Drosophila melanogaster: one gene and its partner. The gene in region 2 interacts genetically with the main gene of each other region. Each region holds a gene or a part of one and is shown on either strand. Other genes may lie near its edges.

Region 1 (5,291 bases), on a different chromosome or scaffold from region 2:
GAACAAATGCGTTATCAGCTGTCAGATGGGCACTTTCACTCGGAAAAAAAAAGGCGAAAACAAAGGAATTATGCTTTTCCAGTTGATTAGTCGGGTCAGCGGCGGCTAATTCATGTCCGCATAAATTTCAATTCAAATCTCTGACAAACTCTGGAAAGTTTCGGAGCGTAGGTGGCCCGCAAATGGATCGCATTACATGCAGATACTTTGGTATCTATTGCCATTAGGAATGATGAAGTAAGTCAAACAAGACGGCCAGCTGGAGTGGAGTAGAGTGAATTGCATTGGATTGGATTGGATTGGATTGGAGAGCAGCGGTCTCCGAATCCGAATCCAAGTCCAAGTGGATTAAATCGAGCTGGAGTGGGGACTTCACATGCAAATCAGGCTGAGACAGGAAATTATTACACACTTTTCCCAGTCTAGTTTTGGTCATGTGCTGGTGGTGCCTGGTTTCGGTTGCTTTCGCAGCGATTCATTAGCATTGCACGGCTTCCGTATATGGGCTCCGAAAATGTATAAAGTGTTCGTGTGCGGCCAGGCCTATGCCCAATTGCTATAGGGTTATATGGCTATATGGGTCAGAGCTTCCCGTGTCTAGGTAGTGATATCAATCCGTTATCGGGAATCAACTTTCTGTGATGCGGTCACCACAATCGAGGAGACGGGTGGCCGGAGACCTTGGCGGTCTGTCTGGATTTGTCTAGGGTTCGGATTACGGACTATGCCATATTATTATTTCATACACTATAAATACACTATAATGCAATAGATATATTTTTTTTTTTGTAGCAGACTTTGGCATAGCCCAAGAAATACTAGCAGGCCTTGCAGCCTCAAGCTGAAAGTGCCACATATAAATAGCAGGTAATTGGAGGTGAGCAAGTGTGAAGCCACCGGTTGAGATAATTTAACTATCCATCCAATGACTTGGCCCACATTCCAGCTCCAGTGCTCGTGAGAATCGAGTCCGTCTGCTGAATGCCCCCGTATCGCCTCGAACTACTCCGTGGGCTAGGCCAATGTCAGTCTGGCCTAGCTAGCCTAGAGCCTAGAATCCGCCAGCGGCTTGCGTCATAAATAAGGCGGCCACAGGCCAGACGAACCAGTTCGCGAGCGGGTTTGGCGGCAGTTGCAGTTGCAGATGCAGAAGCAAACAGTTGGCCGAGATGCAGATGCTGATGCAGATGCAGATTATGCAACCTGCGCATTTCGTGGAGAAAGCTCAATGGAATTCTAGCGCAGATTGCGGTAGTTGACGTCACAACGGAACTTGCCGTTAATTATTGGTCATTCGTTGGGGATAATCCCTCCAATCGCGAATTATGATAGCCCCCATTCCCTGCCCCTTCCCGTTGCCCAACTCCCTCTAGGCGTCAGTGTGTCGCCAGGAAGTAAACTCAGCGCAGCCCGAAGTGGAGCTACAAGTCATTGAAAACCCACACAAGTAGAGCGTAGGACAGACAAGTGGTATTATGACATTTCCCAACCAGCATAGAGGTGTTGTGTCAGTTGAGTTGGTGTAAAATATGCGATAAATGCCATTGCTATGCTGTGCAGTATTTGTTCTTTTTCCTTTCCAAAGCCATACATACATTTCGATGGACTTCAGTCAGCTGGGTTGCTATAAAGCTATTGCAGTTGCAGTCTTCTAATTTCATGCCGAATCCAAGCCAGGAGCTGCTTCATTCATCGCAACCAATAAGTGCTGGTCGAGAGTGCGAGAATGGGATAGCATGGGATGGGTCTTGAGAGGATCCAGCAGAGGCTCGACCGTTCAGATTGCCCAACTCTTACCCCCCATCGGCATTTCTACACTCGCACACAAGAAGGCAACCGAAAATTATTACTAATTAATTATTGTTGCACAAACAGCAGACGCCTGGCTGCAGTGCACCTCGAGTACTTTCGGTACCTCCAATACCGATCCCATCCCGCCATATAATTTGCCGAATTGGACGTCGGCCACTTGTTTGTTTTTCGTTTGATTTTTGTTTTATGTTTGTTATGCGGCGCGCGGCATTTCGTCAGCTCATTCAATTGAAGCTCATTCAGCCGCACTTAAATCAGGGGCGAAGTGAGCGGGGGAATTGGTGGATTGCGGGATGGCGGCCAATGGGCACTTAATTTCGCTGGAGCGCATTTCACTTTCATTTCCACACAATCAAAATACGTCGAGTACCCGGGCATCGGACATCGGGCATCCGAGCATCGGGGATCGGGGATCGGCGATCGGAGAAGGGGGACTGGGAAAAGTGAGGCGCAAAAATTTCAATTTCATTTTATTTATGAGCGTCTAGGCGACACTTTTGAATGCAAATGACGTTAAATTGTTGGTCAAGTGAGAGCGGACTCTCGCTGCCTATTCCCCCTTTTCCCTGCCCCTCATCTACTTCGCCCCCCCCCCTCGATACGAGGCTCACAGACAGCAGGTGGAAAACCTTAGAGGTGCAGCAGGGAACTGCGTGACGAAACCAAAGCAGTTAAGAGGGACTTACCCTTCAGCCAATAACTTTTCTTCGAAATTGCAAAAGGGGTTGCGAAGTAAAAGCACAGAAGCTAGACAGACTTCCTAACCAAACAAAATAGTTTATGAATATAACAATAGATGTATTAAATGTACAAAGTATTCGAGGCGACAGTGTAGCAAATAGTTTTCACACCATTTTACTGGGTTGCACAAAAAGCGATTCAATTTAACGAAACAACCGAACCGAATTCGTGTAAAGGTCCACTCTTTGGCAGGTTTAAGTGGATCGACCCAGAGACCCACTAACGCCCCCAAAAGCCCAGAGAATCCCTTGGCACTCACCGTGTTGATCTTATCCATGAGGACACTCATTTGATTCATGCTCGACATAATGATACTGCTCTGTAGCACTGGAATTCGAATTCAAAAACTATAACTATAGCGTTGCAAGTCTCTTCTGCCGCGGACTGGGATGCAGCACCAATTCGCACATCACGCACTGCTCATTGCCAATTCACTTGATGCAAAAAAAAATTAATCCGAAGAAAAAAAAAATTTTAAATTGACATACAAAGTGTATTCAAACAGTGTTCGTTCGCTTTGCGAAAAGCACACGCGCGCGCGTATTTCCAATTTCCGATTTAATCAGTTCGACTTCTATATAGCCTATAGCCTTAGGTTTTGCTTTCCATAGCCGGTCTCTGTCTGCCGGATGACTTGACCCGCTCGCGTGCGTTCTTATCGACGGCTGGCAGCGCATTGAACGCTCGCCGCTCAAGACGTGCCCACGGCAGCGGCGACTTGGCCAAAAGCAACACGACGAGCACGAGCACGTCGCCGCGGCAAGCCGAAGAAGTTGGCCAAGACAGAGTGGCAGCGACAGGTGCCAGCAGAGAGCCCGAGAGCCGGAGCGGGCTCCAACGCGAACGCGAAACCGGTCGACGGCAGAAAGCGGGCTCTGAGCCTATTCTGTGCCTAATGCCGCAGACCCCACTGTGTCCCAGTCTCAGTCGCACTCCCGCCCGCACACCGCTCGCCTTGGCTCGCGGATTGGGGCCGCCTTGGTGGATAGTGGGTGGTGGAAGGTGCTGCATTTCCATGTGCGTGCGGGGTGCATTCCTGGGGTATTTATGAAATCACAAGGGCTGAGACACTTGAAGAGATATCGAGGTAATTATGGGTGTGAAACGAAGAGCTTACTGCTACGAGCATTTAGAAGACCAAGCGGAGCCTAAGGTCCACGATACTGGAATACCACCTGCGATTCATTCCCAAATGCAATCCAACCAGTGATAGTTTAACTTCGAAAGGAGACAACTAGCCGACCAATGTAAAGGAGTTGGAAGCATGAAACCAAGCCAAGAAACAATTGGACAGCCGAACTGTCTATCGAACAACTTAATTAGCTCTGGCAAATCAGCCGCACACAACAGACAATTGTTAGTCCGCTCGATAAGTTGTTCGGCAACATGCACATAGCCATGTTCACCGGTAACTTTGGCAATTGTGGGCTCAAAGCCGCCAGAGTCGAAGTCAAAGTCAAAAACAATTTAAGGTCGTCACAAGTAAAGTTTGTTATTCCCTCTCTTTTGTTTCGATTTTGCAAGTGTCATGCAAAAAATAAAATATCATGGCAATACCGCCGTGTAAAAACACCGCCTCTGCCCCTCTATCTCCACTTCCCGATTTTCAGCAACGATTCTCATCATCTCTTTTTTTTATGTAACGGTCCTTATTAGAGCCAATGTTGTTGTCTTATACCGACGATCATTGGCCAAATACCGAATGCTGACGGTCATTCAATTTGGAGTCGACGGCATGAGGTGGCCATCCGTTCTTTAGCTGTTTTGGCTGGATATTCGCGCCTTTTTTTTTTAGCTTTTTGATACCCTTAACAGTTGAAGAGGCAAATGCTATTATTATTTTAAAACCAATTTGATGGTGTAACCATCTTCTACCACGTCTAAATTTTGATCGTTGAAAATAGAAGAGCGACTATTCAATGATGTATCATACTTATATTTATGGGCTGTAAAGCGCACTCATTTTCCGATTTTCTAGACCTATCGAACATTTACCAACTGCCTCCTCGGCAGCGAACCGTCTTCAATGACTTCTTACTCACCTGTTGTTGCTAATTGGCTTCGTTGTTGGGATTAGTCTTTGGCTGCAAGTGGAAAAGAGGAGAACGGCGAGAAGCAAATTAGTAGGAATCCGTCATAGTCATAGGTAGTCGGAGTGGTAGTCTCCCTATTGATTAATGCAATCCTCACAGCCCGAGCCAAATCGAATCGACTCTCCCATTTCCCATCTCCCATTTGCTACTCGAAGGGCTTTTTATGGGTGTTGTGCCAACTCATCCGAAAGCCACCACGCTTCGATCGCAATTACTTGGCCATTATGTGATGCAGCCAGACATAATTTCCCATTAGCAGCTTTTTGTCGATGGGCCAAGAAAACGTGAGCATGAGGCAGTTCGTAATCACTCAAAGAACCCACTTCATTTCCCTGGCTAATCTGATTTGGTTCGCCCCTATCTCCAGGCACAACCTCTGCCCAGCCCCTTTTCCATTTCCAGCTAATCGCAGATGCTCCTACTTCATCAAGTCTGCCTCCGCCCGAAATCTTGTAAAATCATATCCATATCATTTTTGAGCTTGAGCTGACGAAATCCTAAAGTACAGAGAAGGTGTTTAAAAACATTGGTTGAAAGTGAAATTTTGCCCACGGCCGCGTCGTCTTCAATTTGTTTATTTTCGGCTGTTTAAATGAGTTTTCAATTTCACTAGAAAGCATGAAAGTACGGCCTTTTAATATTCTT
Region 2 (7,509 bases):
ATTTTTAGCAATTACTATTGAAATTTATATGGAGCCTAAAGTTAAAACGAGTTGTGTAACGAAAAGAAACGCTGCCATTTTCCTTGAAACTAAAATTCCAGCTCGAAAAAGTATGTGTAATATTTTGAATACAAAACCCCAGAAAGCCCACCACTCAATATCGTTAATCAGCATCTTCAAATAAAAAACTCAGTTACGCTTAAGCCAGAGTCAATTTTTCTCAACTTTCTGTTGCTTGTGTGTTTTTATGGCAGTTCGCGAAGTGTATCTACAAAATTTCTATGGCCTTTGTATATGTTTAAACAACAAGAATAGGAGATATATTATTAGAATATATAAACGAAGACATATAAATTAAATTTACACATTTGTCATAGCTTTTGTAATTCTATGAAGCGTGCAAAACAAATATAACAATGTATGTATTTTTCTTTTTCAACTCAATATTTTTACGATCAATAAACTGAAATCATTCTTTTGCATATAAAAAATTTCATGGATTTTTTATTTAAACGGTGGGTTGCATTAGTTAAATAATAAAAATATGCACTGATCATGAATCGAATATAAAGGACATAAAGTGTCCTGTTGGTTTCAATCTGCCGGAATATTGTGTATCCTTATTAAAAGTTAATATTGAAATCAAAATCAAATCATGCTTATATCCCAAAACTTATAGGATGTTTTTATTTGTGTTGGAATAACCATATTTGTCACATGTGTGATATTTTAACTCAACATTAAATATTCTTTGGAGCTACATATATAAAAAAAGTTTAAAATAAGCTTAAAGAAGAAGGGTTTTGAAAAATCGAATTTGAAAACTGAATACGTTTGCTCGCCAATTAGTTGTTTTTGAACAGTTTTGAAAATATGAAGTTTCAAACATTTTCCTAAATCAAGAAGAGCTATAAATCAACTAAAATTTGAAGTTATAAAAGTCTATAAATAAAGTGCACAATATTATTGACTTATGTAGGTTTGGCTTTTAAGTAAAATTTATTGCTGAACGAGAATAAAAAGATCGGGAGTACATATAAGTGTAATCCAGAGACTATGAGACATTTGGTGGAATCTTCTTGATATATAATAGTATTAAAGAAGATGTTACGTCACAGAAATATTGAAAGAAGAAGAAAATTGAACTGGATTTTGAGATGAATTGCTAAATGGATTTAGCGAGGTCGGACATATAAATAAAACCCACCATATATATTTATCTTTTAAATATACCTATATAAAAATATACATATATCTATAGAATTTCTTAGTTTAGAGTTTTGATAACAATTTTTCCATATCGTTACTTAATTGGTTATTAAAATAAATAAATTATAGATTTTATTCTTCAGTTATATAGTAAGTTAAGTGGTTTTGTTTTAGCAAAAAATCGAACGGGGACAATTAACACACAAGAAAATCGGATCAATTGCCTTGCATTCGAGACTTTCGAAAGCAAAAGAACGGCAGGAAAACGCTGGCCGATCAAAATTCCAAATATTTCTCAATATTTTTTTACCGAGCGAAAATAGATTTTCATCTTGTTGGACTTTTGCTCTTGCTGCTTGTGGCTATTTTTGGCCGTGTATCTGACGGATACACGCACACACACAGACAGCGAGAGTGCTGTGAGTAAAATATAAATTGAATTTAGATTTAAGAAGCAGAAAGAAAAGCGCATAAATTTCACGAGAATGCAGCCCAAAAGAGAGAGCATCGTATGAAGCAGCTTTTGGGGGAAATTTCGAGGGAAATTTTCGAGATCGCCGAGCAAAGTTGCGAAAGCGCCATTCCACATATACATTTATTAATGGGAAATTTTTGAGGCGAGAAATTATTCAATACCGCGTTGGTGTGTGCCCTCAGTGTGTGTGAGTTTTTCCGATTTTCCGAGTGGCAGTGTGCGTGTGCGTTGGATCTTGGGGTCGCTTTCTGGGCTAAGCAACTTGGTCAGCATCAGTGTTCTCGGGGTTTCGACAGCGTATAGTGTGTTTGAAACGCTAAGGTTGGTCACGCCAGGATTTTCACCCGACAAGAATTAACTCAAAATAAATATAATTAAATCGCTCGCCTTTGCTGCTAACCAAATTGGTATTTTCAACTGGATTTCGAGTGGATAACAAAATTGTGATAAGTGCATGGCATTCAAAATTATAAATTTTGAATTTTCCCCAAACGGGAAAAAAAAGGAAAACCTTGTTAAACTTAAATAAAATGTGCATATGTATATGTGTCAATTAGCCTGGATATAAAGTTCTACAAAAAGTTAAATGAGTGATCCAAATGTAATGGAAGTGAAAATTGCTATAACTAAAAAAATGAATATCTCTAAAAAACTTAAAATGAACGATCTAAACTACTTGAAAATGGAGATCTTATGATCATTTTTCGGATATTTTCAAAATTCGCTTATAAGGAATTTTGTAACTAAATCTGACGGCACCAATACCATCCAATAAATATCTGTGTGTGTGTGAGAGAATTTTTTTTTGCACACACACACATGAGCTTCATTCGGAAAGCTCTACACGAATGGGACACATATACATATGCACCTTACACACTTATGGCACGCACAATTTTCACACACACAATCACACTCGACCGATAAAGTTTTCCTCGAAGAAAATTCTTTAAAATTAACTGCAGACAGACACCTGCCTGTCACACACACACAGACATACGCATTTATTTTTAACTCTGCCTGAAATTTATACGAAAAAGCTTTTCCGTCTAGCTTTCTGTGATCTCAGAAAACGAAGGCAGTCGAGAACTATAGGTATTTATCCTTGAGATTGTTTTCGAGAGAGATATTTTGGAAAATATTAGAGACGTAGACGATTCCCAGATGCGGATACATATGGTATCTATCTGGGAATATATATATTCAAGGCATAGCCACCCACACAGAATTGTAGATTTCAGAGCGAATATTTCTAGCCATTCGTGAATGCGTCCGAAGGCCGCAAAATTTGCCATCTTTAAGATACATATTCGAACTGATTGAAAGCCCAAGTACCTTTGGCAATCACCAAAAATTTTAATGATGTGAAAACTAAGTAGCTATTTAACATATTATAAGTTATTTAAAGTCTTTAGAAAGAAATCCTTTTTACCTCATAAATCACATATTAAACATTGCTTATGTTTTTTTGGGTACAAAACACACATGAGTATCGCAAGACCTCCAAAAGATCAGCAACTACAACATAAATGACTTTGCCCCACTTTGGGTGGTAGCAACATAGATACACGAATTCGAATACGAATACGCCCACACACCAAATGACCCCAAAGAATTGAATACTTTTCAAATTGCAATCGGTGGCGAGCTATGTACATATATATGTGGGGTATTTCGAAATAATAGGGGGAAACTCTAGAATTACATTTAGCACACAATGTCCAAAAAAGCATTTCTCCTATGCGTGTGTGTGCGAGTGGACTGGATATTTTTTTCTCACATGCAAAAGCATATAAAGTTTATTTTTAACCCCACCGAATCGTGCAGCAAATAAACATATAAACATATAGCTCACCGACGGATCCGGATTCGGATTTTGAGTGGGCGTTTTGAAAATGGAAAATGAAAATTACGTGAGATCTTTTGAGAATGCTCGGCGTAGCCGCCAAACAAAATGTGTTTACATTTAATTCTCAAATTTATTGCACGAACACATATGCACAGCATATAGATATATACAATTTAATTATACCTATGGATAACCTATAGAATGCGCCTGGATCGTTTAAATAAACCGATTTTGTCTTGCAGCGGAAACATAAAAATTCTAGAAGTCACAGTAAAGAAACAAAAATGTATAGTCAAAAGAAAAATCCAAGTTCAAAAAATCTGTAATTTATGAAAGGAAATAAACATTGGAATATCTTAGGACCAACGTATATATGTTATAATATATTATTAAGCGGTTCAAAGCTACAATTAGATTTAAATAAAAAAGTCATACATTTTATTAATTATATAATATTATTATTATTATATTATAGTATATATAATATTCTATGCCTTATGAAAATTGCTCCTTAAAAATTGCACATTAAGGATTCAGTTATTCAGCTTACTCATTTGTATTATTTGGCACAGTGCTTTTTTCCAGTTTTCTTCCCTTGTAAGTCAAAAACAAAAACACAAACACCATGGACGCCATCAAGAAGAAGATGCAAGCGATGAAGCTTGAGAAGGATAACGCCATTGACAAGGCCGACACCTGCGAGAACCAAGCCAAGGATGCCAACTCCCGCGCCGACAAACTGAACGAGGAGGTGCGCGATCTGGAGAAGAAGTTCGTCCAGGTGGAGATCGATCTGGTTACCGCCAAGGAGCAGCTGGAGAAGGCCAACACCGAGCTGGAGGAGAAGGAGAAACTCCTGACCGCCACCGAGTCCGAGGTGGCCACCCAGAACCGCAAGGTGCAACAGATTGAGGAGGATCTGGAGAAGTCCGAGGAGCGCTCGACCACCGCCCAACAGAAGCTGCTGGAGGCCACCCAGTCGGCCGATGAGAACAACCGCATGTGCAAGGTGCTGGAGAACCGTTCCCAGCAGGATGAGGAGCGCATGGACCAGCTGACCAACCAGTTGAAGGAGGCCCGCATGCTGGCTGAGGATGCCGATACCAAGTCCGACGAGGTCTCCCGCAAGCTGGCCTTCGTTGAAGACGAGCTGGAGGTGGCTGAGGATCGTGTCCGCTCCGGCGAGTCCAAGATCATGGAGCTGGAGGAGGAGCTGAAGGTGGGTCCTCAAGAGAAATCCTTCTGTTCTCAAACCACTATTCATGGTGTATTCCCAACTAGGTTGTCGGCAACTCCCTGAAGTCCCTGGAGGTGTCCGAGGAGAAGGCCAACCAGCGCGTGGAGGAGTTCAAGCGCGAGATGAAGACCCTGTCCATCAAGTTGAAGGAGGCCGAGCAGCGCGCCGAGCACGCCGAGAAGCAAGTGAAGCGCCTGCAGAAGGAGGTCGACAGGCTAGAGGGTATGTATCCAACTTCCTACGCCCCTGGCACATTCACTCAGCCATTTTCCGCGGAGGTATCTCTCCACGGGACACCGGAGATGCTGTCCACCGGAAGTGATCCGCCTCGAACGGCCGGATCGCTGGCTTCAACTAATGCTCGCATTGTATTTATCGCCATAAGGATATTAATAATTGTACTTAGTACTCTGCTTTCATTAATTGACGTTCCACATTCACACATCTCGCTCGCTCGCCCTTTTTTTTGAATATCTCTCTATATATATATTTGTATAAATGAACAACAAACAAATGCTTTTTGCAGACCGTCTCTTCAATGAGAAGGAAAAATACAAAGCAATCTGCGACGATTTGGACCAGACATTTGCCGAACTTACTGGATATTAAAAAAGATCACAAACAGAACTCACACAATGCCCTTGCCTCCCCCCCCCCCCAACCGCCCCTTGCCCAACTCCCCCAAAAAAAGGAACACTCTCAGTACATCCCGAATCCCACACAGTTTATTATATATATATATATATATTCTATATTATATTTTTGGAACGATTCCCCCAACAGTTTCAGTGTATTTACCACCCAGCCCAACACGCCACACTTATCTATACACTGTAAATAATCTGTTTAGTCCCGCTTGAATGTGGCCACACCCACACGACCAGTTCCCTACGCCAGTACACTGTAAAAATAAGTTCAGATCAAGCCAAACCAAGTTGCAACTGTAGTTAATACAGGTGAATTTATCAATGTAAATATTGTTGTTTGTATGCCAGATTCTTACCCGTTGTGATGTGGCATGACCTCTTGACCCGTCTCGCCTTCGCACTCTATCTCAGTCTATGTCTCTATGTCTCTCTCTCTCTCTCTCTCTCTATCGTCTCGTCGATCATCAGTGGCTTTCGTTCGAGCCAATTTCGCCCAGGCCTTGGTCGAGGGATTCTCTCAAGGATTGCTGCAACGATTGGTTGGATAGATCATGTCCACATCCCGTAGAGCACCCCATAGATAGTCCTGTCCCCCACCTCCCCTGAAAACCCACGCACAGAACCGCTGACTAACCCAAAAGATCAAAAGATAGAAACGCCTGCCAGAACAGCGCGCCACTAATCCTAATCAATAACTCCATAAACTTGGTACACATGGTGTAAAGTTTGAGTGTTTTTCGTTTCAATTCCAATGTTAAAAAACCATATTTTTGAATATTTTCTAACGCATTTCCAACCACCATTTGCACTCCGCAGACGAGTTGGGCATCAACAAGGACAGGTACAAGTCCCTGGCCGACGAGATGGACTCCACATTCGCCGAATTGGCTGGCTACTAAGTTGGCCAACAGTCCCATTATACCAAATCCACACCAGCAGCGGAGGAAGATGGAGACGACGACGAGATGGAGAACTCTACTAATTGTAAACGAATATCTCAAATTGATTTGGCCAACACGAAGATCGGCGGCCGCAGATACCAAGAACAACAACCATTGTGTATGCAATTCTTTATAAATCTATATATTTCATAATAAATAAATAACAACAACAAACAGATCAACAACAGCAACAAAGCCAACGAGCATAGAAAGCAAATGGAAATTCTTTTGTTTTATAAAAAATAAAATTATCTAAAGTCAAAAGTAGCAGAATGTATAAAGTAAACAAAACGAAAACAAGAACACGAATTTTGTATTTTTAAAATCAATGTTTAAAAATATTAAGAAGCGCTTGCAGTCAGGCAATAAGAGCGAGAGAGCTAGAGAGAGTGCCCAGGAAAGAGACGGGGCTAAATTTAAAATTTTAAGATCGCGCTGCCTGCTTTACTTTCAGTTTATATCTTACAATTACACCACAAACAAACAAAAAAACACCCACAAAAAAAGTATAAAAAAATTTATAAAAACTTTGCTAAAAAAAAATTATATGTTTGATGTTTGCTTTCAATGATGCACAAAACCGAATTTCTTTGCCCTTCAGCGAATCGCGCTGAAGTTCACTACATTTTTGGCGGATATGCAAAGTAGTCTTCAGTTTTTTCCACCGATTTCTCATACTCTTGGGAAACCCCATGGATGCTGGGCCGAAATAACCAAGTCCGAAGTGCGTCACCACTTCATCGGAGATGGATCACGATCCGCAAATCGAGGCCTTCATTGCAACATCTTTAGCATCCGCGCTAATTGTCAAAGCAATGAATAATGAAAGTTCAGTTATCTGTATATATATGGCATATATACACATCCTCAGGGTGATTTCCAGATATGAATTGTAGATGTGGGCAGCTCGCCGTTTTGACCATCAATAAGTGAGTTAAGGCCGCGTTCGACATGTGGGTCTGTTGCTCTCTTGGCCAAATGGACTTTCTTGTAAACTGAACTCGAATTGAATTTCCATTTCTCCTCGCTCTTCTCGCGACGTTGGCCATAAAATAGTTATTAAATCGTTAAGTGGTGTGTTAAATTACCCACTTAAAGCGCCAGTCATTATTTACATAATTTACATTATGGTATATGGAAGCTGGCAGATA

The links.
Region 1: of Tm2 (region 2) and DAAM, changing one enhances a phenotype caused by changing the other (phenotypic enhancement), as found in Drosophila melanogaster (one study listed by BioGRID).

The regions. Positions count from the first base shown.
Region 1 is NC_004354.4:1,305,264-1,310,554, forward strand, and holds the start of DAAM (dishevelled associated activator of morphogenesis), read right to left. Parts: upstream 3,210-5,291; 5' UTR 2,861-3,209; coding exon 2,813-2,860; intron 1-2,812.
Region 2 is NT_033777.3:15,308,295-15,315,803, forward strand, and holds Tm2 (tropomyosin 2), read left to right. Parts: upstream 1-1,950; 5' UTR 1,951-2,005; intron 2,006-2,382; exon of another isoform or gene 2,383-2,779; intron 2,780-3,740; exon of another isoform or gene 3,741-3,900; intron 3,901-4,081; exon of another isoform or gene 4,082-4,105; 5' UTR 4,106-4,158; coding exon 4,159-4,752; intron 4,753-4,814; coding exon 4,815-4,992; intron 4,993-5,296; coding exon 5,297-5,379; 3' UTR 5,380-5,726; intron 5,727-6,233; coding exon of another isoform or gene 6,234-6,316; 3' UTR 6,317-6,903; downstream 6,904-7,509. UniProt on the Drosophila melanogaster protein: Tropomyosin, in association with the troponin complex, plays a central role in the calcium dependent regulation of muscle contraction. May also regulate motor systems required to maintain nuclear integrity and apico-basal polarity during embryogenesis.